Linked DNA regions of Astyanax mexicanus. The protein of the gene in region 2 purifies or fractionates together with the protein of the main gene of each other region. This does not show direct contact. Links are inferred from orthologs where the notes say so. Each region holds a gene or a part of one and is shown on either strand. Other genes may lie near its edges.

Evidence for each region.
Region 1: the proteins of mapk8ip1b (region 2) and map2k7 purify together in Homo sapiens (affinity purification with western blotting; 3 studies listed by BioGRID and IntAct, with this or other methods). This does not show direct contact. The link is inferred for Astyanax mexicanus from reciprocal best matches to the Homo sapiens genes MAPK8IP1 and MAP2K7.

What each region holds. Positions count from the first base shown.
Region 1 is NC_064428.1:26,977,973-26,986,055, forward strand, and holds the start of map2k7 (dual specificity mitogen-activated protein kinase kinase 7), read right to left. Parts: upstream 3,263-8,083; 5' UTR 3,210-3,262; coding exon 3,062-3,209; intron 1-3,061. Other genes in the region: pkn1a (serine/threonine-protein kinase N1), read right to left, coding at 7,634-7,837. UniProt on the Homo sapiens protein: Dual specificity protein kinase which acts as an essential component of the MAP kinase signal transduction pathway. Essential component of the stress-activated protein kinase/c-Jun N-terminal kinase (SAP/JNK) signaling pathway.
Region 2 is NC_064423.1:8,535,843-8,543,752, forward strand, and holds the start of mapk8ip1b (C-Jun-amino-terminal kinase-interacting protein 1), read right to left. Parts: upstream 3,118-7,910; 5' UTR 3,103-3,117; coding exon 2,999-3,102; intron 1-2,998. UniProt on the Homo sapiens protein: The JNK-interacting protein (JIP) group of scaffold proteins selectively mediates JNK signaling by aggregating specific components of the MAPK cascade to form a functional JNK signaling module. Required for JNK activation in response to excitotoxic stress.

The DNA.
Region 1 (8,083 bases), on a different chromosome or scaffold from region 2:
TTATTTCGCTCATTAATATGTCTATCAAACCAATCTGTAAATTTGTGATGAAGCTGACAGTTTATGCTCTAAAAGTACAAACCATAAGCAAATGAAAGTACAATCCAGTGTGGATTTTTTTTTTTTTTTTGCTTAGGAAAATATAGACCAAATTTTTTTTTTTTTATGAGAAGTTGCTATTTTCACTGTATTTATTTTTGAGTACCTGCATCTGTTTTTTTGTGATCTGTAGCTGTTTTGTTTACAGCAAAAATGTTATTGTTAAAAAATTTCTTTTAAATAATGCGCCTAGGGACCTAAATGTTCTGCACAGCTTTGTGCAAATGCCCATGTTCAGAAATATGTAAACAAATGCTGATATCAAACACACGGAAGGTTACACACCAGACTAAAGCGTTTAGAGAGAGAACAGATTACATTTAAGAAGACACATCAAATATTATCTATAATTACACAACCTACCCAAGACCAAGATAAACTTTATGCCCAAATGTATCACATTATTGAATTTAGCTACTGTCAAGGTTTGCAAATTGCTGACACAGGCACGTAACAGCTTGTAGATCCTCTATAATTCACCCAACACCTTTGAGATTTGTCAGAATAAATCAAATAATCCGCAACTGATCATATAACATCAGCACCTTACCTCACTATTGCTCTGATGGCTAAACATAATCAAATTCTCACATCAATGCTCCGGCAATTAGTGTGAAAGCCTTTTAGAAGACTACTTACTGCTGCAGTAACTGACCTGTCTCTACTGTTCATGGAAGAAAGTGTTCTTTCTAGATTTTGGAGGTGGAGGAGGAGATCTGCTGTAAGGTTTTGATAGCAATCAGTGACACAAGCATTAATGGGCTAATGGGTTGATCATGTTTGATGATTACCACTGTTCCTCATTCCCAACTCATGCTAAAAGTATTAGATAAAGAATTATTATTCCAGAGAACACAGTTCTTCCACTGCCACACAGTTTAATGCTGTGAGGCTTAACACCCCTCTTGTCAATGCCTGGTATTGGGCATGGTGCCAATAGGTTCATGTTTATCTGCTGCAGAGAATCTTATTCCATTGGCAATAGTTCTCCACACAAACTAAACACACTGTGGCGTGTGTGCATTTGCACATCTGTGTCAGCAATAGGTACAGCTACTTGCGGTAGCTAGCTAAATACATTCATCAGAAGTGGACTCCAACATTTAGCCAAATGTTTTTGCACCCCAACATTTAGACAATACCTTGTCGACACAGCAATACTAACTAAACATATCTACAGTTTACCATTTAGCCAATGCGTTTGGGCTTTAACATTCAACCAAAATATTGTGATCACATCTCTACCAGCCAAACATTTTTGTATTTCGTTATTTAGTCAAACGTTTCTGGACTCCAACATTTAACCAAATGTTTTTAAACTCCAACATTTAGCCAAAAGCTTCTGGACATAATTATATTAACAAAACATATTGGTTTCATTTAACCAAATGTTCTTTGACCCCAACATTTAGTTAAATGTTTTTGCACCCAAACATTTAGCCAATAACTTGTTGACACAGCTATACAAATCAAACATATCTGCATTTCACCATTTGCACAAACCATTTGGGCCGCAATAAATAGCTAAAAGCTTATGGATACATTTCTACTTACTGAACATTTAACCAAAAATTTGCCTCACAATTCTATCAAATAAACCCATGTATGTTTCACCATTTAACAAAATTCAGCTAAATGTTAATGATCTAAAACATTTAGTCAAAAGTATGTGTTTCACCATTTACCCAAATGATTTTAGACCCCAATATTTAGCCAGAAGCTGCTGGACACAATTCTATTAAACAAACATATGCGTTTCACCCTTCAACATTCAACCAAAATATTGTGAACACGGCTCTAATGTTACCAGTCAAACGTTTTGTTTTGTATTCCACTATTTAGTCATATGTTTTTGGACTCCAACATTTAACCAAATGTTTTTGTTATACAAAATTGAGCCAAAAGCTTCTAGACACAATTCTATATACCATATGCATATATGTTTCACCATTTAACCAGATGTTCTTGGGACTCCAACATTTAGCTAAATGTTTTTTGACCCCAACTAACTAATACCTTGTTCACACAGCTATACTAACTACACATATGTGCATTTTGTCACTTAGCCAATGCTTTTAGGCTCTAACATTCAACCAAAATATTGAGAACACAGCTCTATCATTTCATATCATCTATCACCTAAATTTCCTTTGGGATAAATAAAGTATGTATGTATGTATGTATCTATCTATCTATCTATCAGCCAAACGTTGTTTGTATTCGAATGTTTTTTGGACTCCAACATTAAACCAAATGTTTTTGACCCCAATATTTAGTCAGAAGCTTTTGGGCACTCTTATACTCTTCTATTTTTACAGTAACTGCACTCTCTCGCTAGTTAGTTACTAGGTTACGTTTTTAGCATTAGCATGGTAGCTAACGTTACCAGGTTTATGTCAGGCGTCTCGTTAGCTGGGGTTAGCTAGCTAGTGGCTATCTTGAGAAGGGTCAGAAAACTGAAGCGAAAAACGGATTCGCTGCCACACAGATGATTCAAAATGAATTTACAGAAAATTAATTTTCAGAGTTGATAATATTATACAGATATTACGTTATCCTAAAGTCCTCAGTTAGCCAGCTAACGCTAGCTAACCTAACGATACTAGCTGGAGTCATATTGTGAGGCTTGGGACGCGGGCCTGCTAATCAATTTAGCCAGTCAGTCAGTCAGTCAGTCAGTCACTTAGCTGGCTGGCTAACGGTTATTTAGCTAGTTAGCTCGGTTAGCTAGCGAAATGACCACGAATTAGACATTCTCCGCTATTATTCTTCACCTACAGGTTTATATATGTGTACCCAGTAGGCTCTACTCAGCGCCCGCGCTCTGCCAGGTCTTTAACCAGCTGTCAGTCTGATCAGAGCTCCGTGTTTGTTTATGTAGCCTGGTTAAGCTAACGCTGCTCCCCCCGATTCCGCCTCTCTCTCCACCACGGCGGCTCCGCAGTCTCCTCCGGACACTTACTCGGCCTGGGTCGGGAGCGCTGTGGGCTCATGTCGATGCTGAGGTCGATCCGCCTCCTCGCTTCTTTATTCTCCTGCTTCAGTTTCTCCTCGATTCGGGAGAGTCTCTGTTCCAGCGACGACATCTTGGAAAAATTCAGCAGCACCATCGAGCGGCCCCGGCTCTAAAACTCGCACACACACACATACACTCCCCCCTGGCGACGGTGCTGGAGGACAGCAACACACACCGACTCACACCAACACACACACTGCTGTAAAGGGTGCAACGATTCAGTAGCAGGGAACCACACGATACGATATTATCACGATACGATATTATTATCACAATAAGATATTATTATCACGATACGATTTTATCCCTATACAATCTTATCACGAAACGATATTGTTATCACGATACAATATTAATATCACAATACGATATTATCACAATATATCACGATACAATATTAATATCACAATTAGATATTCATATCACAATTAGATATTATCACAATATATCACGATACAATATTATTATCACAATACAATATTAATAGCATTAAACAATTTTATCACGACACAATATTATTACTATACAATATTATCTTAATATGATATCTTAAGAATACAACATTATCACGATACAATATTATCAAAATAAAATATTATCACAATACAATGTTACAACAACACGATATCACAATGTAATATAATCTTGATACAATATAATGGTACGGTACAATATCAAAATACGATATTATAACAGAACAATATAATCACAAAACAATATTTTCACAATATGTTATGTTATTATACAGCTTCTATGGGGCAGCATGGTGGCTTAGTGGTTTGCACGTTCAGCTTCCAGAGCTGGGGTTCTGGGGTCAAGTCACAATCTGGGTGTAGTTTCCATATTCTCCATGTGTGCGCGTAGGTTTCCTCCGGGCACTCCAGTTTCCTCCTACGCTAAATCGGATACTCTAAATTGCACTGATGTGAATGTGTGTACGACTGTATACCCAGATCCTAGGTCAAATTCTGCAGTGCCAGATGCTGACAACTTAGGGAGATGTTGATTTCATTTTCCAGCAGGACACACTGCCAAAGTACCAATTGGTCTTATATAATATTCTAATTTTCTAAAATACTGACTTTTGGGTTTTTTATTAGCTATAAGCCATAACCATCAACAATAAAAGAAATAAACACTTAAAATAGATCACTCTCTGTGTAATACATCTATATGATATGAGTTTTACATTTTGAAGTGAATTACTGAAATAAAGTAACTTTTCAAAGATATTCTTCTTCTCCACCCTTTTTTATTTCTTTTTCATTTCTTCTCCCCAACCCTTTTTTTGTTTGCACCTATTTATTTGTTTTGTTGCAAAAAATATTTGTTTTCCACCCATTTTCATGCAATATTTATTTTTCTCTTCATTTTATTTGTTTTCTGTTTAATTTTGTCACTAGTTGTCAGGAACTCTCCTTTTCTTATCCTAACCATTTCCAAGAGAATTTCCTTGGGAGATTTATTTATTTATTTTTCCACCCATTTTCTGTTTTTTTTTTTGGTGATTTCTTTATCCACGAGTCCTTTTACATTTGGTGTTGGACATTTTTCTTTAATAAATAATTTGATTCCAGTCAGTTCATGGAAACAATTTTACAGACTAAAATTTGGACATCAAATATTGCTCAAATTTGTATAAGTATTTAAACCTCTTAAAATGTATAGAGCTTCATTTATCCTATATATTTTATTACCTACCTTAAATACAAGCCACATATTGTTTTTGATATGTAAGCCTTTTTACAATCATTTAACAATACTGATATTTCATTATTTTATATAAAACTTTACCCAGGAAAAAGATTACTCAGGAACGTAAATCCAAAATGACAGAGGTGCCAAAATTCACACACATAAGAAAATAACACACACAAACACAGCAGTCTTATCAACAAGTCTTTATAAATACAGCTCAACACAGAGTTCTGATGAATTGTAATATAATAGTATACTGGACACAGTCATACCAATTCATCAACACTGACCTGCAAACCACAGGAAAATCGGACAACAGTTTTACTGTCCACATAAAAGCAGTGTTGTCGTCTCTGATTCGAAGATGGGTAATAAACAGACATTGATTTTGGAGGCCAAAGTTCATATTAAAGTTTGTGCTACATGTTTATCAGTGTATTCATTTTTTGTGGTATTGAAGTATGATTTTTCATTATTTTGCAGAATTAATCCCTTCATGACAAATTGCAAAATCCAGTGTTTCAAAGTAGAGAATTAAATAAAATGGGCTTAAAATGCTAAAACAGGAAAACAATATTGGGACTAATTTCCACCAAAACAAACTGAAACATTTATACTCCTTTCCTAGTTTCTGTCAGAAATTACACAGCCTTGTAGTTTTTAAAGTTAATTAGGTCCAACTCTTAAAATAAATCCTTCAGTAGTTTGTTTTCAATTCATTCTTTATCCACCACTTTGATAGTCACCATCAACAATAATCTAAATGCCTTTCTAAAGCTTGTATCTGCATATTGATATAATATATATAGTTTTCCAAACGTAACTATGAATGTATACAAAATTACCTTAAAAAAAGCTTTGAACAGTTAGGAACTGGTAAAGTTGACATATTGGAGATGCAACATTTTTGTAGATGCCTCTAATGGCTTGTAACTTATTCACTCACGCATGTTTAGCAAGACTGATTGTGGTGCTCCACATCAATGAGACTTTGTGTCCTTGTAACAGAATACTTAAAGTGGCAGTCCGTATTATTTTGTTTCTCAACTGAAAGCTGAAGCATTTCTGAGTGGAGAAGGGGTAAAATATTGTATTAAATGGTACCAGTGCGCTGGAACAACCATCCCCCCTAAGCCTAATATATATTCATTCTAAAAACTGGGTGTCTGGTCGCTTTTCGCTGGAGTTCTTCTGGCCATGTCACGCGTCTTTATGTCAAATGTACAGCCTCTAAAAGACGATCCGGCTCAGTTTTACTAAATACAAGCAGCTGGTGGAGCAATGGAGACTTTAGAAGGGAAAACTCTATAATTCACATTTTGACTAGCTAGAATAATATTAAGAGAATAAAATCTTTTAGACGTTTTACTAATTTTACTGACGAACACATAAAGAGATGTGCTGTAGCTGATCTTTAGGGTTACTGGAAAGGCATCAAAATGACTGTTAATGTCAACAATGCAGCAGATTAAGCTGAAGTTGAAAAACACTGAAGGGCTCTGCCTTTAAAAAAGTGTTGAATCAGTGTCTAGTACTTGCTTAAAACTTATCCAGAACAATATTCAGAGATGCTCTGTCAATGTACTAAACTGAATCTCACCATTAAAGGCACTGTATACGATTTTTAATACACCAATACACATTTTAAATAATTCAGCGAATGTTTCCTCACAGTTCCCTAACTCCCTGGTCTGTTTATGTGTTGGAAAAGATTCTGACATTTTGGTGCCTTACTTTGTAAATGGGAAATGGGCCACACGACATTATTAGGGGCCATTTAAGTGTGCGCCGAGGACTGGGAAAGGCATCGGCATGTGTAAACGTTGGTGAGGTATTTAAAAGATTGCAAGATTTCTGAACATCCTGAAGGGAGGAGTTTGTTTGTTTGTTTTGCACACCAACAGTTTGGTTCAAACACCAAGAATTGTTCTTCAGAATAATATACAGCACCTTTAATGGTCATTCTTTAACCCATTTAATCCTAAATGTGGGCACAATTCCATATTCAGGTTGTTCTTGTTGTTGTTCTCAAACATGAAACCTTTCAGTATAAGCAGTGTACGTAGCATTAGCTTGTATTAATCTTGACCTCATGATTCTCCGTACTGTATGTATATATATATATATATATATATTCATTCATCATCACATCACTTCATCATCATTGTCCATTCAAGGCTTCTTTTTTCAGTTCCTTTGACTAACATACTTAAAAGATTCTACGTAAAATTCTCAAAAGGGACAGAGTATAAAGTTAAGGCATTTTCAAAATCCAAAATCACAGTGTGTAAACGAGTGTCACTGGGCCAGGTCAGAATGGCAGCTGCTTGCTGTCCCGTTCTTCTACTGATGAACTTGTTTGACGTGAAAGGCAGAAGTGAGAGACAGAAAGAGGCAGTATAAGAAAGACTACATTGAAGTTTTTCTTTTTTTTTCTCAGCTGAAATTCACATTTCTATGTGTCATTATCGTTATATTGAGAATATGCCAGACAGCCTTTTACATCCCCTCTCTTGATGAGTAGTCCACATAATCTCCATCTCTAAATATTTTCTCTTCATTAGCGTAATCCGTTCTCCATCCCAGAGTAAAAACAAAAACTCCACACATTTACTGAGCTATAGTAGTCTCTTCAATCTTCATTCTGGCATCCATAAAAAAAAAAACCAAGCCATCCACAATGGCCGAACTTTTACTGTCACAGTGTAGTGGTAATGGTGCAGATCCGCCGTGATCGCAGTCAAAGAGATAATAAACATCCCTGGACGACTCCTGGACTGTACAACCTTTGATATCTCTGACAACTTCCTTCTGAGAATTTCAACAGAGGTCGGAGACGTATTCGAAGTCACGGAAGCTGTCCTGGTCTTTGCGCGAGAGCGTGCGAGGCTCCCTTGGCGGTGTGAGGGCAGGAGCTTCCGCCGTGAATTCTTCGTCAAAGTTGCTGACGTCTTCTTTTCCTCCGATGGAAGGAACGAAGGGGGGAGGGAGTTTGCGAAGGAGAAGAGCCTCCCAATCCATATTCTGAAAGAAAGTAAAAGATGGCGATGACGCGTTATATCAAAAACTCTTACAATTCCAAAGCAAAAATTGAGATTGCACAACTTGCTTAGAGGTGAATGGTTCAGGTTTGAAAGGTAGTGGTATCTGGAGAATTTGGTATTTTATGCCTATTGAAAGCTCCGTTCTACTGCTGTCCCTACATATCTGCAAATGTGTTTGGACATGCATATGCAGACATTCACTCAAATGTCTGCAAACATAATGAAA
Region 2 (7,910 bases):
GCTTTCCTTCCTTTGAAGACAGAACTGAGAAAGCTTCTAAAAAATACTGGGACGATTCTTCTTCAGATGATGATAACACTTCAAAGGTTATCACTTTCCTGTAAAACTGAATTTTACTCACTGTCCTGAGCTAAAGGATTGAACCAGTGAGAAAACACTGTTAAAATTCAATCCAGTTCAAACAGCTGGAAACACAGCTGTATTATCTGGAGCAGACAATCATGAGCAGATTGGCTTCATGCCTAATGACAGGTATAGGCCAGAGAGGTAAAAATGCCACAAAATGCAATCAAATCCTCACAGCAAGGCAGAGCCAATTATAACAGAGCTTGTTTACATGTATTTGAGCATTAAAGGTATAGTAATAGAAACAGTATAACAGTCTATAGTTTTTTTTAGATTAAGGATAAAGATAAAGATAAAGAATTGTCACTATCATCACATCATTATTTGAGAGTAAAGCTGCACCTGCAAATAGTTATATTAATTATATATATAAATAAATACATACATTTAAAATAGGATGCAGAATTTGGGGCCCTTGGTGCTATAAATGATTTGTTTAGGTTGTGACTCTTGTTGTGATGGAATGTCTTCTTATTACTGGGTATAAAAACAAGGCCATTCAGCCTGAGTGACCCTGCAGAGATACTGTATATAGACGGAGCTGAGCAGATGCCCGTGTCTGGGTGAACGCCAGGACGTGGAGAGCTCTGAAACGAGGCCTTCTGTAGTTTATTACAGTAAGACTGCAGGATTAGACCGTACACAGGAAATGCACATTGCGATTAAACTCAGAGACTTCCAGAAACCGTTTGATCCTGGAGTCTAACTCTGCACAGTAGATACACTGTACATGCCGTTTACTTTAACTCCAGTACAGAGACAGATTCCTTCAGAACATTTCTAATTAATATCCGGCCCCTAGTTTACCCAAATCCTGCTGTAGCAGGCGGTTCCACTGTTACATGGCGTATAAGCTTCAGGCTGCCAAAACACATGAAGCTGATGGTCCTGCAGAACTGCTGATCGCTTCAGTGCACCTCGAATAGAGCAAGCATGGATCACGGCAATTAATGACCTCTAAATTTAAAAGCATTTCACTCAGAATCTATAATTTAATGGTACAAAAATAATCCAGCATCATGCATTATTCTGTGGGACGCTTAAATAAGAACTTCAGTTTAAGCAGTTTTACTCTATAGGGCAAAATCTCTGCACATCTCACAGCCAAGTTCCCAACCCCACCAGTAAATTTTTCCACAAACATCTTTGGTTAAATAATTATGCTAAATGCTTCTAAAATGCTCCAATTATATGTGAGAGCTATATTAGCTCTGGCTGCCAATATGACTGAAAAACGATCAATATTTAAAATATTTCATACTTGATAGTCTTTGACAATAAATGGCGATATTAAAAGGGGTTTAAAAGAAAAAAAATTAAATAAGGTGTAAAGGCCTAGAAAGAAAGAAAGAAAAAATAAGGGAAGATAAAGCAGAGGGGAAAAAGGGGAAGGAAGAAAAAGAAAGGAAGACAAAGGGGGAAGGTAAGAAAAAGAAAAAAGGGGTGCTGGGTTGTTTTATTTTGTTTTGTACATTTATTTTTTTGTCTATTATTCCTGTGCTTTTATACTATATATTACTTATTTTTTCCCTTTTTTTCTTCCTCAATAAAAATATATATGATGGCTATGTAAATAGCAAATAGATAACTGTGTATTTAAGTAATACACTTAAATATGTTTTGTCCTTATATTTGATGTTTTTACAACATTTACACTAATCTGTACTCTACAGATCTGTACTCTACTCTGTTATACCTCCAAAACACCACTACTCTCTACACAAACAACACATGTTTGTTTTTTTCCTGGAATTAATTTGCACATTTTGAACAATACACAATATACTGTCAGCCCTAACATCAGCCATAGAGTTTAGGGATTTTACTATTTTATTTTTAGGCCATTCATTATTAATTAGCTAGCCTGCATATGCACTGTTTTCAGTGTATAATGTGATTGAGAATGTGGAGAACCTTCATTTTAATTTATGCATAATTCAATTACCTGTAAACAATGCATTATGTACAATGTACAATATAACAATGTATAACACCACTTCAAAATCATCTGGATGAATAATTAGGAGGTAAACAAAGTAATGTCGTAATGAGTTTTTGGTGTGAAATGTTCAGTTTGTAGAGAAATGTACTGGCTCAGTAGCTACTGTAGTGGTAAATTGAACCAGTCTCTACTACAACAATAACAATAGTAATATATCTATTTTATTTTCCATTTAAACCCACCACTAAACCTACACTATGGGCCCTTTAACACTCCTACTCCAGTATTTGTCAGTTCTGGTGCTGGCATCCCCCGACTTTGTATTTTTTCAGCATTTTAGTGTTTTCTCTGCTTTAACCTCCTGCAGCTTTGACTGGGCCATGAGCTGATCAGGTGGACCCAATTTGGAAAAATACCTTTTTTTTCCTTAACAATGTAGCATAAACTATAAATCGCCATTTCAGTTCAGTATCTATTTATTATCTATTATCGGCTACCTCAGTCACATAATAGCAATATTCATTTTCTTAACACTCTAACAATAATCTGCACTGTTATCATTTATTTCTATTGTATATATATTTGTATTTTTTTATATATTTTTTTCTGCACTGTACCAATCAAACCTGCATCTCATTCCAAAAACACTTCTCCCTTCAAACTTCTGCCTTATCTGCCCATCCCAACAGCAGAGACACACCCATACAGCCTGCAATCTGCTTCCATACACCACCACAAACACTCACACACCCCATAAACCGCCTGTACTCCTCTGATTCCTCCCTTATCAGCGACCCATCGCTATCAACAAGCAGCTGCTACAGCCCAGGTGGGATGGCAGCAAACGAGATGGGACACACACACACACACACACTTACACTTAAACATACTACACACACATTTATCCCCGCAGCAGCAGCGGCTTCTCACCTGCAGCTGGCCGGGGAGTCGAGGCGCGGTGCCCGGGAGCTGGACGCTGCTGCCGGGGTCTTCCTCCGCTCTCTCTCCGCCATGCCTTCCCTCTTCCCATTCATCTGGAGGAGCAGCAGCAGCAGCTCCGTGGAGGGAGGAGGAGGAGGAGGAGGAGGGGGAGCGGGAGGCAGTGAGGGCTGCGGCCGGAGGGAGGGGCTGCTGTCTCAGCTCCCGCTCTCCGCCTCTCCGCCGGGGCTCTCGAGGTAAATATGAGGGACCGTCAGGGTCTAAACAACAGCTCCAGCAGTCTGATCAGCCCGCGCGCGGAGCCGCAGCTGAAACTCCCTCAATAAATACACAGCTGTTTACAGAGGCAGTCTGGTGATAAGAATGTTAATACAAATAAATACGTGTTAAAGAAATATATATGTATATATTACAATTTAGTAAAAAATAATATGGGTGAGATCGCCCCCTGCTGACTAAAAAAACATTAAATTTTTATCATTTTTTGATTTCATAACAGAAATAGATTGGAATTGCTGCACATTATATCAGTGTATCATTGTTTTAGTGTTCCTGTGTTTCAGTGTTTCAGTGTTCTGGTGTTTCAGTGTTCTGGTGTTTCAGTGTTCTGGTGTTTCAGTGTTCCAGTGTTTTAGTGTTCTAGTGTTTTGTTGTTCCAGTGTTTCAGTGTTGTGGTGTTTCAGGGTTCCAGTGTTCTGGTGTTTCAGTGTTTCAGTGTTCTGGAGTTTTAGTGTTCTGATGTTTCAGTGTCCCAGTGTTTCAGTGTTCTGGTGTTTTAGTGTTCTGGTATTTCGTTGTTCTGGTGTTTCAGTGTTCCAGTGTTTCAGTGTTCTGGTGTTTTAGTGTTCTGGTGTATCAGTGTTCCTGTGTTTCAGTGTTCCGGTGTTTCAATGTTCCGGTGTTTCAGTGTTCCAGTGTTTTAGTGTTCCGGTGTTTCAGTGTTCCAGTGTTTTAGTGTTCCGGTGTTTCAGTGTTCTGGTATTTCAGTGTTCCAGTGTTTTAGCGTTCTGGTGTTTCAGTTTTCCAGTGTTTCAGTGTTCTGGTGTTTCAGTGTTCCAGTGTTCTGGTGTTTCAGGGTTCCAGTTTTCAGTGTTCTGGTGTTTCAGTGTTCTGGTATTTCAGTGTTCTGGTGTATCAGTGTTCCTGTGTTTCAGTGTTCCGGTGTTGCAGTGTTCCAGTGTTTTGATGTTGCAGTGTTCCAGTGTTTCAGTGTTCCGGTGTTCCAGTGTTTTAGTGTTCCGGTGTTTCCATGTTCTGGTGTTTCCGTGTTCTGGTGTTTCAGTGTTCCTGTGTTTCAGTGTTCCAGTGTTTCAGTGTTCCGGTGTTTCAGTGTTCTAGTGTTTCAATGTTCCAGTGTTCCATTGTTTCAGTGTTCCGGTGTTTCAGTGTTCTAGTGTTTCAATGTTCCAGTGTTTCAGTGTTCCAGTGGTGTATTAGTAATTTATTTTCTTTAATTGTATCCATTTTCTACCCAGTTTTGGAAGGCCAATTACCCCACCCCTTCTTAGTTCTCCCCATCACTAGTAATGTTCTTCCAACACTAGAAAGGTGCGGACAGATGCACACCCTTTCGGCTACATGTGAAGTCAGCCTCCATGTCCAGGTATACAGGTACCTTCCAGGTATCATAACCAGGTATCTAGTGTGCTTAAAAAAAGGCCCAACCAAACTCTGATGCATCAGCTAACAGACGCCTCTACTGACCAGGATCACAACGGGAGTGATGAGGGGAGAGAGCCCCACCTACTGTACCCACCCAGAGAGAGAAGCAGTATGATCTACTGTACTCTCTCAGACTCTGGCTGCTGATGGGGAAATAGCATGATACAGGATTCGAATCGGTGATATATATAACAAATAAACATGGTGAGAAACGTAGTAAAAATTATAATCATATGCATTTTAAAAACATTCAAACTGACACATTAGTCCTAGACCCTAAACTGCATCATAAACTAAAATATGACACACAATCTACAGCATGCATTAATTTGCTACATTTATCAAACAGGAAAAATCAGTCTTGTGTGTCTGTAATGTTTTTAAAATGTGTACATCATTACATTTTTATAAATACTACGACTGCTGAGACTTGAACTCATTATTATTGATGATTGGTGTATGAGGTAATGTTTCTGTGTGTGTGTGTGTGTGTGTGTGTAAATAAATAAATCATAGCCTGGGTAGAGGGAAGGGTGTGGTAAAGTAGCACAATGACATAAAGACCCCTCTCTCCACACACAAAAACACAATCTCATACACACACACACACTGTGTTTTGGCAGATAGATGAGCCCAGTCACACACACTGTGCCACTTCTCTGTGTATGAGTCCTCTAAATGCCAAGCAGAAACCAAGTTCAATTTAAGTGTGTTTTTTTTTTTTTCAAATCTAAATATCTGGACCAGTGTCCGCACGCAACTTCATGTGTTTGTTACATTCTGTTCATTTGGTCCTGTTAGTCTTATTTTTACACTGCATTTTAGTGAACGGGCTAAAGAATTTTACTACATCTTGTCGTCATCAGTCACAAGGACGGAGTCTCTTTATACTTTATATTTATGTGTTTGTAGAGTGTTTTTATGAGTTCAGTGAGTTGCTTTCCCAGGTGTTGTGGCGAATTCTAGCTCTCTGTCAGAATCTGATTGCTCTTTACATACACAGGCTCTCTGCAGCAGCATGTGTGTAAAAGATAATCCTCACTTTCATTTCTGCTGCTAAATAAGGATTAATCTACTGTTACAGTAAATAAATTAATTCCCAGTCTAAGCGTTTGTGTTCATACTGCTGCATGACCGGACCCAGAGCACACCTTTTGCGTGAAACAGTGGTCTGATAGTGGGTGCAGGTGAATTATGGGAGTTGTAGTGAGTGACTGATAGTGGGTGCAAGAGAATTATGGGAGTTGGAGTGAGGGCTGAAAGTGGGTGCAGGTGAACTATAGGAGTTGCAGTAAGGGGCTGATTAATTGATTGTTTAATTTGGTTTGATTAGTTTTGGTTTTACACTGACTGCAATTTAGCGAGCAGCTTAAAGAGCTTTGATAAGTAAGTTCGGTGAGTTGCCTTTCCAGATGTTGTGCCAGAAACCGCAGCAGAACCAGTGTAAAAGGTTCTCCTTGGATTCCTTTTATTTCTGTTTATAAATAAGGGTTATTCTACAGTTACAGTATTCTACAGCATACAGTTGTAGCCATACTGCTGTGTGACGCATCTGCACATATCCAAGAAGAGATTTCATCACAACACCTTTTCTTTTTCTTCTTCCATTGTAAAATGGGTGACGCTAGCTTGACTCAACTTCCCATAATTGTTCTGAAAGTAAACCACCCGAAACATGAAAAGCTGATCTGGACCGACAACGCCTTTTTTGGTCAGACCAAATTTTGGACCTACTATTGCACTACTATCGCCTGATTTTAATTCAGATAAAACTAAAAAGTAGATAGGTGTGAAATCAAATCTCTGAAGTTACAGGACTTAGGATTTGCTGCTTATGTCTTGATGCCAGATACAACAGAACTCCTTCAGAGGCCCAAAAAAAAGCCTGAAAATTGATGCCGACAAAGTGATAATTTGGCTTGTGTACATTCACATATAATAATCGGGAGGATATTTTAAGAGCTCTCTGTTCTGATAAAGTGACTGTCTATTACATAAATCCTAAATCAGGGGCCTCTGTGGACGTTCACCATTTGAAAGCTTTTATTGTGTAACTGGATTTAGTGAGAATCGTCACAGAACGTGTAAAACTGAAACACTGACGTGACTCAGTGATTTTGTTGTTGTCAGGAATTACACTAACGTTATGTAAAGTAAATGAGCAAATAAATCCTCTGAGCATCTGTCCTGTTACTGATGGGGCAGCATTAGTAGGGCAGCTGTCTCTGAGACTGAAGCACAGAGTAACCGGTCTGATTCCGGGGTTTTCTTTAGTTTTGGAACTGACTCCTTTAAATCTTGTCCTTTTAGTGTATTACTTAAACTGATTCACAAATCTGAATAAAAACAGTTTTGCAGTTTATATTTTGTATGTTTTATTGAAGAATGTAATTTTCCCAAAGTAAAACAAATACAAAAAAATAGCAAAAATCAATGAAAAATGGTCTAATGTCTTTATTTCTTATTTCTTTGAGTGCCCTCGCCAATGCACATTTCTCATTTGTGTAACATACACTATTTGGACAGAAGTATTGGGACAGCTGCTCCTTCATTATTTCTCTCTACTGTCCAGGAAAGACTTTCTACTAGATATTGGAGAACAGTGCTGTGAGGATTTGATTGTGTTTAGTGATAAGAGTGGTGGTGGTGGGGTCAAGATATTGGAGGATGGTGATTCTATTGGCATCGCTTCTCTACTAGGACTAGACATGTTATGAGTGTGCAAGTACGAGTAGATTCAAGTATACTTAGCATTATTATGCTAAAGTGAACTTGTAGCCACATTATTAATCAGTATATTTAAAGAGTGCTAAAATGGAACAACTTTTTTGTACTTATTATACTTTAATTGTATAAAAACAGTACAAAAGTCTTACATAAATTGTGCTAAAATGTGTACTTAAATGTACTAAAATGGAAGTAATATTTAAACATACTACTTCATGTATGTAACCGCATATTTTCAATATGCCTAGTGTAAAATTATAATACATTTAATAAGTATACTGTACTACAATTTTTAGTGTGTTACAAATGTACTTTTATTTGTATAAATGTAGTGATTTAATTTACTTTCAAGTTACATAATATTTTGCACTTTAAGTGAACTACTGTAACAACTGTTTTTAACACACTTTGCTAAAAATTTACAAAAGTATATTTGGAAATAGGTATTTTAGAAGTATTTTGAATTACATTAATCTAAAAGTGACCTTCATAGTAATCTATTTTTTTTAAATAC